Kluyveromyces lactis: one gene and its partners. The protein of the gene in region 2 interacts with the protein of the main gene of each other region in a biochemical or structural test. Links are inferred from orthologs where the notes say so. Each region holds a gene or a part of one and is shown on either strand. Other genes may lie near its edges.

Evidence for each region. The genes of interacting proteins can lie anywhere in the genome.
Region 1: the proteins of SIP5 (region 2) and PTK2 form a complex in vitro, tested with the Saccharomyces cerevisiae proteins (2 studies listed by BioGRID, with this or other methods). The link is inferred for Kluyveromyces lactis from reciprocal best matches to the Saccharomyces cerevisiae genes SIP5 and PTK2.
Region 3: the proteins of SIP5 (region 2) and TPK2 form a complex in vitro, tested with the Saccharomyces cerevisiae proteins (2 studies listed by BioGRID, with this or other methods). The link is inferred for Kluyveromyces lactis from reciprocal best matches to the Saccharomyces cerevisiae genes SIP5 and TPK2.

Annotation. Positions count from the first base shown.
Region 1 is NC_006038.1:575,473-580,800, reverse strand, and holds PTK2 (protein kinase PTK2), read left to right. Parts: upstream 1-1,711; coding exon 1,712-4,165; downstream 4,166-5,328. Other genes in the region: PEX1 (AAA family ATPase peroxin 1), read left to right, coding at 1-932; KLLA0_B06479g (phosphatidylinositol/phosphatidylcholine-binding protein), read left to right, coding at 4,866-5,328. UniProt on the Saccharomyces cerevisiae protein: Essential determinant for high-affinity spermidine transport. Required for the activation of the plasma membrane proton pump PMA1 via phosphorylation of 'Ser-899'.
Region 2 is NC_006041.1:1,967,044-1,971,642, reverse strand, and holds SIP5 (Sip5p), read left to right. Parts: upstream 1-1,898; coding exon 1,899-3,350; downstream 3,351-4,599. Other genes in the region: KLLA0_E22089g (uncharacterized protein), read left to right, coding at 1-651; RPP1A (ribosomal protein P1), read left to right, coding at 4,008-4,328. UniProt on the Saccharomyces cerevisiae protein: May negatively regulate the SNF1 kinase by promoting the interaction of the REG1/GLC7 phosphatase complex with the kinase. Deletion of SIP5 promotes resistance to artemisinin, which is probably an indirect effect of an action on the electron transport chain.
Region 3 is NC_006040.1:266,136-270,368, forward strand, and holds TPK2 (cAMP-dependent protein kinase catalytic subunit TPK2), read left to right. Parts: upstream 1-1,797; coding exon 1,798-2,916; downstream 2,917-4,233. Other genes in the region: serine/threonine protein kinase HRR25, read left to right, coding at 1-1,143; MNP1 (mitochondrial 54S ribosomal protein bL12m), read right to left, coding at 3,152-3,664; DNA-directed RNA polymerase II core subunit RPB9, read left to right, coding at 4,176-4,233.

The DNA.
Region 1 (5,328 bases), on a different chromosome or scaffold from region 2:
GCTGTGGTAAGACAATGTTGGCCAGTGCAGTGGCCCAACAGTGCGGGCTAAATTTCATCAGCGTCAAGGGTCCAGAAATCTTGAACAAGTACATCGGTGCATCAGAACAAAGCGTACGAGATCTTTTTGATAGAGCTCAGGCTGCGAAACCGTGTATCCTCTTTTTTGATGAGTTCGATTCCATTGCACCAAAGAGAGGTCACGACTCTACCGGGGTTACTGACCGTGTGGTGAACCAAATGTTGACCCAAATGGACGGTGCTGAGGGGCTCGATGGAGTGTACGTGCTAGCGGCCACTAGCAGACCGGACCTTATCGATTCTGCATTGCTAAGACCGGGCCGTCTAGACAAGAGTGTGATATGTGACATCCCAGATGTCACAGAAAGAGAGGATATATTACGCGCTGTAACGTTGAAGATGGACACGGAGGATGATTTGGATCTACATGAGATAGCAATAAGAACTGAAGGGTTCACCGGTGCTGATTTGCAAGGTATGAGTTACAATGCATATTTGAAAGCAGTACACAGGTCTTTAGACGCGGAAACACAAGAGGATCGCCAGCCTTCAGCCATGCAAGAACAACAACAACAACAACAACAACAACAACAACAACAACAACAACAACAACAACTAGACTACATCTCACTAGGCGATAAACCCGTTACCAAGGAAACTATGGACAGAATCACAGAACTACTCGAAAACGCTACGACGTTGAATGGCAATTCCAAATCGGTACAATCCGTGAAACCAACCATATCCACGCACGACATGCTCGACGCATGTCAAGAAGCGAAACCCAGCATTTCGACTCATGAATTACAAAAACTAAGCCATATATACCAGAAATTCATCGGAGATAGAGAGGGAAAGATGCCCTCAGGAGAAGCCTCCCAAGAGGTCGGAGGAAGAACTACATTGGCATAGCAGAAGACATTCTTCACAGACATTCCATACACATGGTACTGGCACCACCACATGTATAACCACATGCGCCAACACATGCATGTGCTAGTAGTGTACACTGTTACCCTGACTCTTCCTCATTTTCCCTCCCTGATTTTCTCACTATACCCCAGAGAAGCGGAAAAAGCATAGATATAGCACAGTGAGAATGATAATACGGCAATGTCTGGCGACATATGGCGAAATTGATATATATATAATATGCATAGTAGATAGGACAGATAGGACAGAGATAGTCAATATGTATACAATAACGTGTATATTGGGACAATATTCGGGCCCTGACAACCCGAGCAGGTGCCTGACTTGAAATACGAAGAAGCCTTCTGCATAACTGAAGCTGCTGACTCACACATACTCTCCCTCTCACTCACCCTACATTTTCCCGCCGCATCCGCCTTGTCTCTTTCCTGACTGAGTCGAGCTGCTAATCTCACTAATCTCAATTGACGCTTTAAATTCTCCTCTCCACCCCCCTCTCATTCCAATATTTAATCTCGGTTTCTCTTCTTTCTTCATTTCCATTTTCTTTTTCATTTTACTTTTTGATTATCGATTTTTGATTTTTTTGATTTTTTTTTGTTTTCGAATTAGTATTACAGAGAGTGGCATATTGAGAATACAGAATTTATCGAACGTTTTAAAATAGAGCGAAAAAGACTAAGGGAAAAAGGTTATAAATCTTTTGGTCTTCAATACAAGAGGAAAAGTGACACAGCGAGACAGTGAGACAGTGAGCTATGACGCTATCCAGTTCCAGGTCTATGATACCGGACGATATCAAGTCTTCTACACCTTCGTCGGAAAAAGTCGCTATGGCCAAGTTGTTGCATAAGAAGGAGACAACTCCTGGTGCCAAGGCAGTTACGTCATCTGACGGAAATGGGAATGGAGTTCCTATCCGTTCTTCATCTGTGCGATCCTTAAGAAGATCGCCAATTGGCGATGCTCCTGCTGCAGCAGGAGCAGGAGCAGGGACGACTCCGTCGTCCTCGCATTCAAAGAACCCTTTGAAGAAGATTTTTGGACGGTCCAAGTCCCATCATGTGGAACAGGGCAAACAGTTGGGGTCTAATCCGTTCTTATCGGGCGGGGAGTTGAGACCTCGGATGTCCCCCAAATTGGAGAGTAAGTCTCGTACTAGAGGGGCGTCTCTGTTGCATAAGGATAGGGAAAAGGATCGTGATATGAATTCGAATATGCACGTTATAAAGTCGTCTTCTGCTATTCCCAGTCTTGCGTCGCATAATACGAACCCTTTCCTGAATTCCGCTAACGGAAGGATACCTCTTGAATCCCTTGACGTGCACTCGCGTCCTCCAACGGTGTCACAGGCGTATCATTCGCCAAGTTCTGCGTCTGCGACGCCGTCTTCTACGTCGTTGGGTTTCTATCAGACCGAGGGTGATGCCAAAGGTGAAAACATTCTACCGTTGCCCTTGAAGAATCCGAACGACTTTTTGCCTGAATCCATGCAACAGCCTAGTGTAATGTTGACGGATAACTTTGCATTCGCTGATTCTGGTAGGAAAACGTTGGGTGAAGGTGGTTCCTCCCAGGTGATGACGGTTCATTCGATATATCGCAAGAAACAAGTTTACGCATTGAAAAGGTTCAAATTGTTTAAAGACGAGACGCCTGATCATTTCTACCACCGTTGTATCACGGAATTCATGATCGCCAAGAAAGTGAGTAACCATGTCAACATTATCAAGACTTTCTATATCATGAAGACCCCAAGTGTCTCCAATGGTCCAAAGAGAAGCTGGGCTTTCTTGATGCAGCAGTGCGTACAAGACATGTTCCATTATACGACGTTATCAGGGTGGGCTACAAAGCCGCTCGATGAGAAATGGTGTTGCTTCAAACAGATTGCAAGAGGTATCAGACATATGCATTCATTAGGTATCGCTCACAGAGATATTAAGTTGGAAAACGTCCTAGTGACAGACTACGGTGCCCTAAAATTAACGGATTTCGGTATCTCCACGTACGGTATCAAGGACCCTGAAGATCCTACCAGTGAAAGAATTAAGATTAGAGGATATTGTGGTTCTCCACCACATGTGCCACCAGAAGTTATGATTCTAAGTGAAAAGAAGAAGAAGGTTATACCGGTGCCCAAGGATAAAGAAGAATACGATCCGTTCAAGATGGATACTTGGGCCCTAGGTATATTGATGTTCAACCTTGTTTGTCCGTTTGCTTTGTTCGCCGAAGCACACAAGGATGATTCCAAATATAGACATTACATTGCATTTTACGAGCAATTCAACAAACATAGCCCACATTTTAGGAAACCTGGTGTTTATAGATCAGGCCCAGGTGCAGAACATCCGGAATTCAGCAAATTAGGAAGTGTAGAGGCAAGCAGAGTGTGTCTACGGTTATTGGATCCTGATGCTTCTACAAGATATACTATAGATGATCTGTTCAACGACCCTTGGATGGCTAAAATTGAATCATGTTTCGAAGAATATGAAGAAGAACCAATCAAGGTGCCGGAATTGAGAAAAGCTACTACAGACGATGATCCAATTCCACACGATATCCCATCTACTGGATCCTCTTTCAACGAAGAAAATTCAGGTTTATCACATTCTACCAACCCATTTTTGGAATCTAACTTGAAGAGCCCTAAGATCAAATCCAAGTCCATGATATTCATTGCTGAAGAAGAGGCCAACAGACGTAGTGCGTCAAGTTCCGCTAACGGATCTCCAAAATTCAATGCTTCTGCCGAACAATCAGTTGCTCCTACTTTACCCACTCTAGACGAGGAAAAGACGAAGGATGTTGACGATGACGAGAAGGGGATATCCTCTCCCAGTATTGGAACACAAGAACATCCAATTCCTGTAAGTGCAATGGAACCAGGACATATACTTAATTCAGTAGCAGAGGGGAAAGAACCAGAAGAAGAAGAATCTAGAAAGCCTAAAGAGCTGGAAGAAAAACTCAGTTCGCTGTCGCTTAATTCAATGGTCCCTGATGACTCTACGAATACCAATGGCTCAAACTCAATTTTGAAATCGAATTCTTCCGCTTCTATTTCCAGGAGCTCGTCCGTGGCGTCCAGGAACAGCGGTTCTGCGTTAGCGAATTCTGCCACTCTTGCAGCACGGAAGAGAAAGAAACAAATTGTCCATCACCACAATGAATGCGGTGGTAAATCGATATTCAGTATCAAATAAATAGCAACAGATGACAGTATAACACCAACGAATTTGCAACGAATAGATAATTCAATGGTTCAGGCATCTCAGGTACATTTTTTTACGTTATTGACTCTACTTCACATTTTATTCAAACAGTTTTCGAGAAACGACTTTATTACTAAAACATACTTTATTATAAAATTCAAGACACATATATACATATAAACTTCAACGTGTAGCATTAGCAACAACCGACTTATACAATGAACATTCTGCATGGTCTTGTCATCGATCACCTGACGCTTTGCTCTTACGGTATGCTACGCATTTGCTTTCACCAAAATAGTTACCCTGCATTTGTTGGCGGTGGCTTAAGGTTTAAACTGCAGAAAACGCAGATACAAAACGCAGGAATATAAACAATTTTTAACCATTAAGAAATGCGTGGAAAATGTGGTAAAGGTTACCTTTCTAATTGACAGTTTCCTCTTTCGTTGTTACTAGTTCATAATATTGTTTCTGAGTGACTTCATTTTAGATATCTATAGTTTTTGCATCTATACAGGTAATATTTTTGAGAAGCAAACTTCAAATTCCCATTTTCAACAGTTGGATTATTATTAGCACACTTGTTTAAGAAGGTGTCTCGTTCCTTGATTGATCTAAATTCATACCATTGCATTTAGCTAAACCAAAAGTTGACCCCACGCCGGAAGTTAGATAGAGCCCTGTCATCATGGTAAGTGAACAAGAAATTTTAGAATCATACCCCCAGGTTTGTCCTAGTGGATCATTGTCTGGAACACCAGGCAATCTTGATTCAGAACAAGAAGCCAAGTTGAAGGAATTTAGAGAATTGTTAGAATCATTGGGATATAAGGAAAGACTTGATGACTCGACGTTGTTGCGTTTCCTAAGGGCTCGTAAGTTCGATCTAGAGGCTTCCAAGATCATGTACGAGAACTGTGAGAAATGGAGAAAAGAGTTTGGTGTTGACACCATCTTCGAAGATTTCCATTACGAAGAGAAACCGCTTGTCGCTAAATACTACCCACAATACTATCACAAGACCGACAACGATGGTCGTCCCGTTTACATTGAAGAGCTTGGTTCTGTTAATTTGACTCAGATGTACAAGATCACCACGCAAGAACGTATGCTGAAGAACTTGGTCTGGGAATACGAAGCTTTTGTTAGAT
Region 2 (4,599 bases):
GATGAAGTCATGTGTGGTACTGGTAGAAGCAACCCTAACGGTAAGTTGAACTGTTGGGAGAATTTCTTGACAGCTGAAGAAGCCCCAGATATCCAAAGTGTTGGTAAGACCTTGGGTTCCGGATACGTTACCATAGCCGGTGTTTTAGTTGGTCCAAAAATCAAAAAAGCATACGCCGAAGGTTCGAACTGTATGATCGGTTCCCACACTTATGCATCTCACGGTTTTAACTGTGCCGTTGCCCTTGGTGTGCAAAAGAAGATCTTGGATAACGATTTAACTAAAAACATCTTTGAAAAGGGTAACTTGATGGGTCAGAAATTGAAGAAATCTCTGCTAGCTTACGATAACATCGTCGGTGATGTCAGAGGTATTGGTGGATTCTGGTCCTTAGAATTTGTCAAGGACAGAGAAACAAAGGAACCATTCCCATACAAGCTTGACGTTGGTCACCGTTTCCAAGATGTATGTTTCGAAAATGGAATTACTGTCATGGGTATGCAAGGAAACATCGACGGTGTTTCTGGTGATATTGCTTTGTTGGCACCATCATTCATCATCACCGAAGACGATGTCTCCACCATTGTGGAAAGAGTTACCAAGTCTGTTGATGATATGACCGTTCTACTAAAGGCTGAAGGCCATTTCTGAGAAGGCTTCAGCTGTGCTAAGTATTCTAACGACTATATAACGGCACATACGTAGACGTATTGTGCCACCTCTTCTCTGTACTTGTTCTTTAAAACTCCATGTCTCATCATAACAGTTATGTGTCAAGCAAATCAGTTCCTTTTTTCCTAATATTTTTTTGACACTTTGAACCTTTAAGCTGTTTTTATTCGCGTAAATGTATATTATTAACAAAGTGATCGAAACTAAAATATCAGCAGGAAAGTCAAAAATAGAAGGCCGAGTTAAGGGTCCTACATTAACATCAACGTAGTAAGATTTTCTTAGTAACTCACAAATTCCGGCCCAGTAAGTAGATATATATATGTACGTCTTTTTTCGGCATTGTAGAGCATCTGCTGTAAGCTTATCAGCTGTCATTACTTTCTGCTCGGTCAGCATTGATGAAAACCCGGCTCATATCTCATTAACTTCGCCTCGCTCCTAATGTAAAGATATATACCTAAGAAATAATAAGGAATGATAAGTGAATCTATCCAAAAACCTGGTCCAACTATTCTTCAACCTAGTTTTCTTTCACTGTGTGAGTCACACTATTATACCAAATACCCATATGTAAGTTACATCTTTTTTCAGTGTCACTATCAAAACTCCTGTATTGTTATCCATAAACTTTAGAAATACAGTACAGTGCGTATCCCGATGTAGACAGAATTTCCGGTACTCTACCTCCAACTTAATGCCATATGCCTGCGTATCGTGACGCTTTCGACCGAAATGAATTTCGGGATAATAGCTACATACATATATACATCTCATATCTTCCACCGAACAAGGTTGGAGATTGTTAACTCCCAGTTCGTCACTCGGACTTTTTTATGCATGTTCGGGATTAGACAGGAGGCTTTCACTATGTGTTATATCAAATGTTCTGGTTTCTCTTTGTCGCTATATAAAGCAATAAATTGGTTTGAAATCAAAAATTCCATCATAAGAAAAACGTCCCTTTATTTCTATAGGAGACAAAACTCCATTATATAGGGAGAACACAGGAACGGTTTTTTTCTAACTTCACAGATACAATAGATTAACTGAGTCATATAACAAGGTGTGTTAGTTATATTGCGTATACATTGTTTCAGAAGTTACAGTATCCGGTTAGCGTTGTGTGGAAAGTTAGATATTATTTTACCGCTTATAAGTGAAGAACCTCAGAATTTAATAGGATCAGAAACAGAGGGATATATACACTAATATCTAAACCAGCCATGGGAAATGTTCCAGGTAAAATTGATAGCCCTCAAGACCCTGCAAATAGGAAGCAGCAACGGTCAGAGTCTTTAAATTTTGGATCTCAGGGCCCAAAAAATCTTAACCGGAATAGGAGGGCTACTTCCTTGGTAGGAAATTTGTTAAGTGCTAGTGGGAGAGCGAGATCAGACTCTTATAATAGTGCTAACGGTTACAACGGCAACAGTCCGAATCCGTACAAGAAGAAGTCTTTGAAGGAGAAGGAGAAGCTCAAAGAGAAGCATGCTAGACAACTTGTGGTCAAGTACAACGAAACTGTGGATGGTGGGTTTTTAGCACCTTTTGGATGTTATAATTTCGATAAGTTGGACTATGAAGCAGATATAGTTAAAAATTTAATTATAGAAAGGAGGTTGGCTCCCTTTTACACACCATTGCAAGAATTTGATCAGACTTGGACTCGAGAAGAGGTCATAAAAATTGTTGATGGGTTACCTTTGCATTGTTCATTTCAACAGGACCCAGAAGAATTTGAGGGAGTTCCGACCGGTGATTTAGCCGATGACGAATTTGACTATCTACTGGATAGTACCGCTTCGAAAAGGGAACAAAGAAGGCAAAGGTCGAAAATTTCTAAGGCAAGGTTATATTTCAAAAGAGTTGGTTGGCAGGAGAGGGCAAATGAACGGTATCTTGAGCTGAAACTTATGAACAAAAAACATACGGAAGCAAAGAACCCGGCTTTACCCAGTGATGATTTGAAATATACTTTGTACAAAAATGGAGCAGAATGTCCAATATGTTTCCTCTACTTTCCTAAGCCTTTGAATATTTCCAGATGTTGCAAGCAACCGATCTGTACTGAATGCTTCGTCCAAATCAAGCGTGCCGCACCACACTTCCCGCATGAAGAGGTAGATCCAACTCAAGATCAAGAACCGGACGAATTGAAGGATCCCAACCTTCTTGTCAGTGAACCTGCCAATTGCCCTTACTGTGCCACTGCAGAGTTTGGTGTAACATACGAACCGCGCAGGGACGTGCGGACTGGAATCAACGGGATCTACGCTTCCGAATACAAGATTGCCGAATACAAGGACCGTGAAGGCCTAGTATCGGATTCTAGCAGCAATGAAGATGACGAACTCGTAACTATAGAACAAATTCGTAGGGGCTCAATAGCAGCCGATGATCCGTCTGTGATAACATCCGATTCTATAAGACCTGACTGGGAGATCAATCTAACCAAAGAAAGATTAAGACTCGCTAGAAGATCAGCAAAAGCTACTGCAATACACATGAGTAATCAATTAATTGATCCCGAACACCCTTCTAGACACGCATCCATTTCTTCTTCAGTTGGAGGCCCTGACGGAGGGAATAGTCCTCAACGTCGTCAGAAAACATTAGAAGAACTGGATGACGAAATGCTCCAACAAGCAATCAAACTAAGTTTGCAGGATCATTAACCTAATTTGGAGCTTATTTCATGAACTGAAAGCATTTTCTCCTGCACTGCTGTCTCCTTCATTACCTTCACGACTAACGACAGATACAATCAACACATTCGCAAATTACTTCACTTTGCATGCATCTTTTAACAATCCCATAACTTTCGCATCATACCTTAAGATACAAGGTACACTCATCAGTAACACTGCGCGCGAGTATATATATGTTTATAAAACATAGAATATTATGTGGAATATAGCACCCATCTGCGGACTCACTCCGACTCAATATCAGGGATTCTCCCTTGTACATCTACGCTGACTCTGTACATCCAGCGTTTCATGCAGAAACATTATATCACATCACACGAATTATCATGCCTGACGAAACCACGCAGCTTTTCCTGAAATTTTTCACCTTTCCACGATGAGATGTGAAATATCAATAAAACTTACAGGAGTAACCATTTAACATTTCGATAGGAAAAGTATTTGTTTTACACATGATGGCATTTGTTCAATTTGAAGCTTCTTTTATGAAATATTCTTATTACTTATATCGTTTTATTATTTAGTTTCTCTTATTTTCAAAGGACCAAAGAAATAGTCTGCTTCATTACGAGCTTAATCTGATTATCTCTACACTTGCCAGAACCAGGAAATTTTACATTAGAAATGTCTGTTGAAACTGCTTTGTCTTACGCTGCTTTGATCTTGGCTGATGCTGATATCGAAGTCTCTTCTGAAAAGTTGTTGGCTTTGACTGAAGCTGCCAACGTCCCAGTTGAAGGTATCTGGGCTGATATCTTTGCTAAGGCTTTGGCTAAGCAAAACATCAAGGACTTGTTGGTCAAGTTCGAAGCTGGTGCTGGTGGTGCTGCTCCAGTTGCTACTGGTGGTGCTGCTGCCGGTGCCGAAGAAGCTGCTGCTGAAGAAAAGGAAGAAGAAGCCAAGGAAGAATCCGATGATGACATGGGTTTCGGTTTGTTCGATTAAATTAGGTTAACTTTTAACATAGGAGGAATAAATTCTGTTTTTATTACTAGCGCATTAAGCTACTACTTACTACGTTAAATTTGAGAATCAAATAACACATCATTTGAGTGTATACACAAATATGTATATATAATCAACCGTTTTTAATACACAAACGTCCAATCTTCAAAGCATCTCATCACTAGTGACACTTTGAAATATAAGTAGGATCGTATAAGGTTCCATAATATCATTAGACAAATTGATAATCTGATAATTTGAATTAGATGTA
Region 3 (4,233 bases), on a different chromosome or scaffold from region 2:
CATAGAGATATTAAACCGGACAATTTCTTGATGGGTGTCGGAAGACGTGGATCCACCGTGCATGTTATTGATTTTGGTTTATCCAAGAAGTATAGAGATTTTAGAAGTCATAACCATATCCCATACCGAGAAAATAAGAACCTTACTGGTACTGCACGTTATGCCAGTGTCAATACGCATCTTGGGATCGAACAAAGTAGACGTGACGATTTGGAGAGTTTGGGTTACGTGTTGATATATTTCTGCAAAGGGTCCTTACCATGGCAGGGGCTCAGAGCCACGACAAAAAGACAAAAATACGACCGTATCATGGAAAAGAAATTGTGCATCACCGTCGAACAACTATGTCAAGGTTTACCTATGGAATTTGTTGAATACATGAGATATTGTAGGAACCTCAGATTCGATGAAAGACCAGATTATATGTATTTGGCTCGTTTGTTCAAGGATTTGTTCATCAAGTTGGAATACCATAATGATCATTTGTTTGATTGGACCATGTTGCGTTACACAAAAGCCATGATCGACAAACAAGGAGGCGCCCAAGCATTGGAACAAAAAGATGAAAATGGTAATAAACAGGATTCATTTGATAAAGTGAAACAATTGGCTATGAAGAAATTTTCAACACATTTCCACTATTGGAAACCAGATGATACTTCTCATCCAACTGCTGAAGACATAAAACAACAGACTATCCTAAACACCCAAGTTATCTCCACGATCCCAGATGAAGTCATGAATGCTATCGACAGAAACATGGAACAGTTGAAGCACGAAGTGAACCAACAGGTGGCGTCTCAACCACAACAAGGACAACCACAAGGACAAACTCAGGGACAAGGACAAACTCAGGGACAAGGACAACCACAATCAGGTCAGCAACTAGATACACAGTTACCTCAACCTACCACGTTACTACAACAGCAAAGGGCACAAGTTCAAGGTCAACAAGAACAGATGTTACAACAGCAACAACAACAACAACAACAACAGCAGCAACAACAGCAGCAACAACAGCTTCTGCAACAGCAACTGCAAACACAACAACAAACGCATCCAAATGCAATGGCTATCACCAACCCACTACCAAACCCTAATAACACCACCAAAACTACCACTACCAATAATATCTGGCTTTAAACGCAAAAGACGAAAACAATGCGCAAACAGTTGCAAAATCTGTAGAGTAGAAAAAATCACACACGCTCATACATATATACAACTCATCATCAGTTAATCATGGGCTTCTAACCCACATTGGTTATAAATTATAACTCGGAAATCTGTTACCTAATTCACACTTATATTTCTTTCTTATATGTACTTGAATAGTGGAACATGGGGGAGAACACACACAGGGATTTTCTCACCAACATGAGCAACCATGAAAGTAAGCTGGTTACTGAATCGGCAGCTGACACAGGTTTACGGTACTCGCAGTTCACAGCTCATTGTTGCTGCTGCTGAAGTTTCCCTCCTCATCCTTGGCAAGGCCATTATCGCAATATACGAATTCCACTACTAAATATCGAAAAAGGGTTTCTGTTCCTCACATGAACAGTGAATTGTGAAAAACTAGACCAAAGGAAAACTAACAACAAAAGGAGAGTCAACTGTGGTGAGAAAAAGAGAGCAATCTAGGGCGCATTGAGTCTTGAAAAAGTGCAATATCCATATAAGACTATCAGTCCAAAGCTATAATTAAGGCAAAAACTGGTTTGTCCCATTTTGTACTGTTTATTCATTAGAGTAAACTAGGGGATTTTGACCCCAAGGGAAAAGGAAAACAAGAGGATGGAATATCAGCCTGTGAATTTACAACAGATGAATACTGCTCCAGCTCCTGCAACCAATCCTGTGAATCCGGCGGATGTGACCGTGGGTTCACAATCTACCGATTATTTATTGGCTCAGCAGAAGGAATCGTTGTTGCCTCAAAGGTCTACTGTGTCTAAGGGGAAATATACGTTGCATGATTTTCAAATCATGCGTACATTGGGAACAGGGTCATTCGGTAGAGTGCATCTCGTGAGGAGTGTGCACAATGGACGTTACTATGCCATCAAAGTTTTGAAAAAACATCAAATCATTCGAATGAAGCAAATTGAGCATACGAATGATGAAAGACGGATGTTAAAGCTGGTTGAACATCCTTTCTTAATTCGGATGTGGGGTACGTTCCAGGATTCTCGTAATCTATTCATGGTTATGGATTATATCGAAGGTGGTGAATTGTTCTCGTTGCTCAGAAAATCCCAACGATTCCCCAACCCTGTGGCTAAGTTTTATGCAGCAGAGGTGACTTTAGCTTTGGAATACTTACATTCTCATAACATAATATACCGTGACTTGAAGCCAGAAAACATTCTATTGGATAGGAATGGGCATATCAAGATAACGGATTTTGGGTTCGCCAAAGAGGTAATCACAGTGACGTGGACGTTATGTGGTACCCCTGATTACATTGCTCCTGAAGTAATTACAACGAAACCATATAACAAGTCTGTTGACTGGTGGTCTCTTGGAATCTTAATCTTCGAAATGCTCGCTGGTTATACTCCATTTTATGATGTTACGCCAATGAAGACCTATGAGAAAATCTTAGCTGGTGAAGTCGTTTATCCACCATTTTTCCACCCTGATGTTGTGGATCTATTAGGTAAGTTGATCACTGCAGATTTGACCCGTAGATTAGGTAACTTACAAAGCGGGCCAGATGATATCAAATCGCATCCATGGTTTGCGGAAGTTATATGGGAAAAGCTTGTGGCAAAGGACATCGAGACGCCGTACGAGCCACCAATCGCTGTCGGTGTCGGTGATTCCTCTTTGTTCGACCAATATCCGGAAGAGCAACTGGACTATGGCGTTCAGGGCGAAGATCCATACGGCCAATACTTTTTAGATTTCTAACGAAATCTTCAAAGAAAAACATAACTCATAATCGATTCATTTTTGAACGGATCGTTCGTGAAACTACCTCTTCTTTTTACTTTGTTATGTCGGTCGGATTGCGTTTATATATATATATCTTAATCTTAAGAGTTTATATTAATATATTTTTGGTTATTATTATGTACAGGAAAATGAGAAGAGAACTCGTTTTGACATGGGGAATTTACATGCGTGAGGTGTTCGACGTATCTGTCTATTCCAAGACAATCTTGGCACCTAGCCCTTCCAATGCAGCCTTAACCTTGTCAGCGTCTTCCTTAGCGACGTTTTCCTTCAAAACCTTTGGAGCACTTTCCACAAACTTCTTAGCTTCAACCAATGACAAACCTAACAAGTTCTTAACTTCTTTGATGATCTTAGGCTTAGACTTGGCATCAAACGATTCTAACTTGATGGAGAAAATAGTCTTCTCTTCAACGACTTCTTCTTCCTTGGCTTCTTCAGCTGGAGCAGCTGGGGCAGCTGAACCAGCACCAGCTGCTGGGAACGAAATATCTGGGATGTTCAATTGAGTCTTCAATTCTTGAATCAAAGCAGAAGTTTCCAATAAAGTCAATTTGGAGATATCTTGAACGATTTGAGAAATCTTTGGATCAACCGCAGCAGCTGGAGTAGATGTACCAGCAGTCGATTGATAACGAACCAAACCTAATCTACAACTGTTCCTTGCAAAAACGCCGGATGATCTTACCACTTGACGCAACATTTTTTCTTTTATATTATTCCCAAACCCACCTGTGATAAAAACTGCTGTTCTCGGTTAGATTCAAGATGGAGAACTAATCGTGAATGTCAACAGTACAACTCCACAATCTGTTTAACCTGTTTCGATTGTTCAATGGAATTGTCTTTAGGTTTAAAGCTTTTTTCCCAAAATTTTTCAGCTAACAGATGATAATCGTACGGAGTGATAGATGCTGCTAACACTTTTCGACATTTGAAAAGCTTCGATTGAGAACTAGGAAAGGATCCAGAATTTGAGCCATGGTTTTGATAGGAATAAGAGTGTATAAGAAGTGACTCTGGTTTAAGTGGGGTCAAAGTTGTTTGTTTTGTGGTTTAAAAGCAACATATTGTTGTGTACTTGTAGTTTTTAAGAGAAAAACGGTTAATTTTTAGTGGTTTCACTGGATTGAAATACTCCAAGAACCGGATTTTGTTAAGAGAGAGGAATAGACAGACGATAGATAGTTGATAAAAGATAAAAGTGTATCATAATGACTACGTTCAGATTTTGTCGTGATTGTAATAATATGTTATATCCTAGAGAGGATA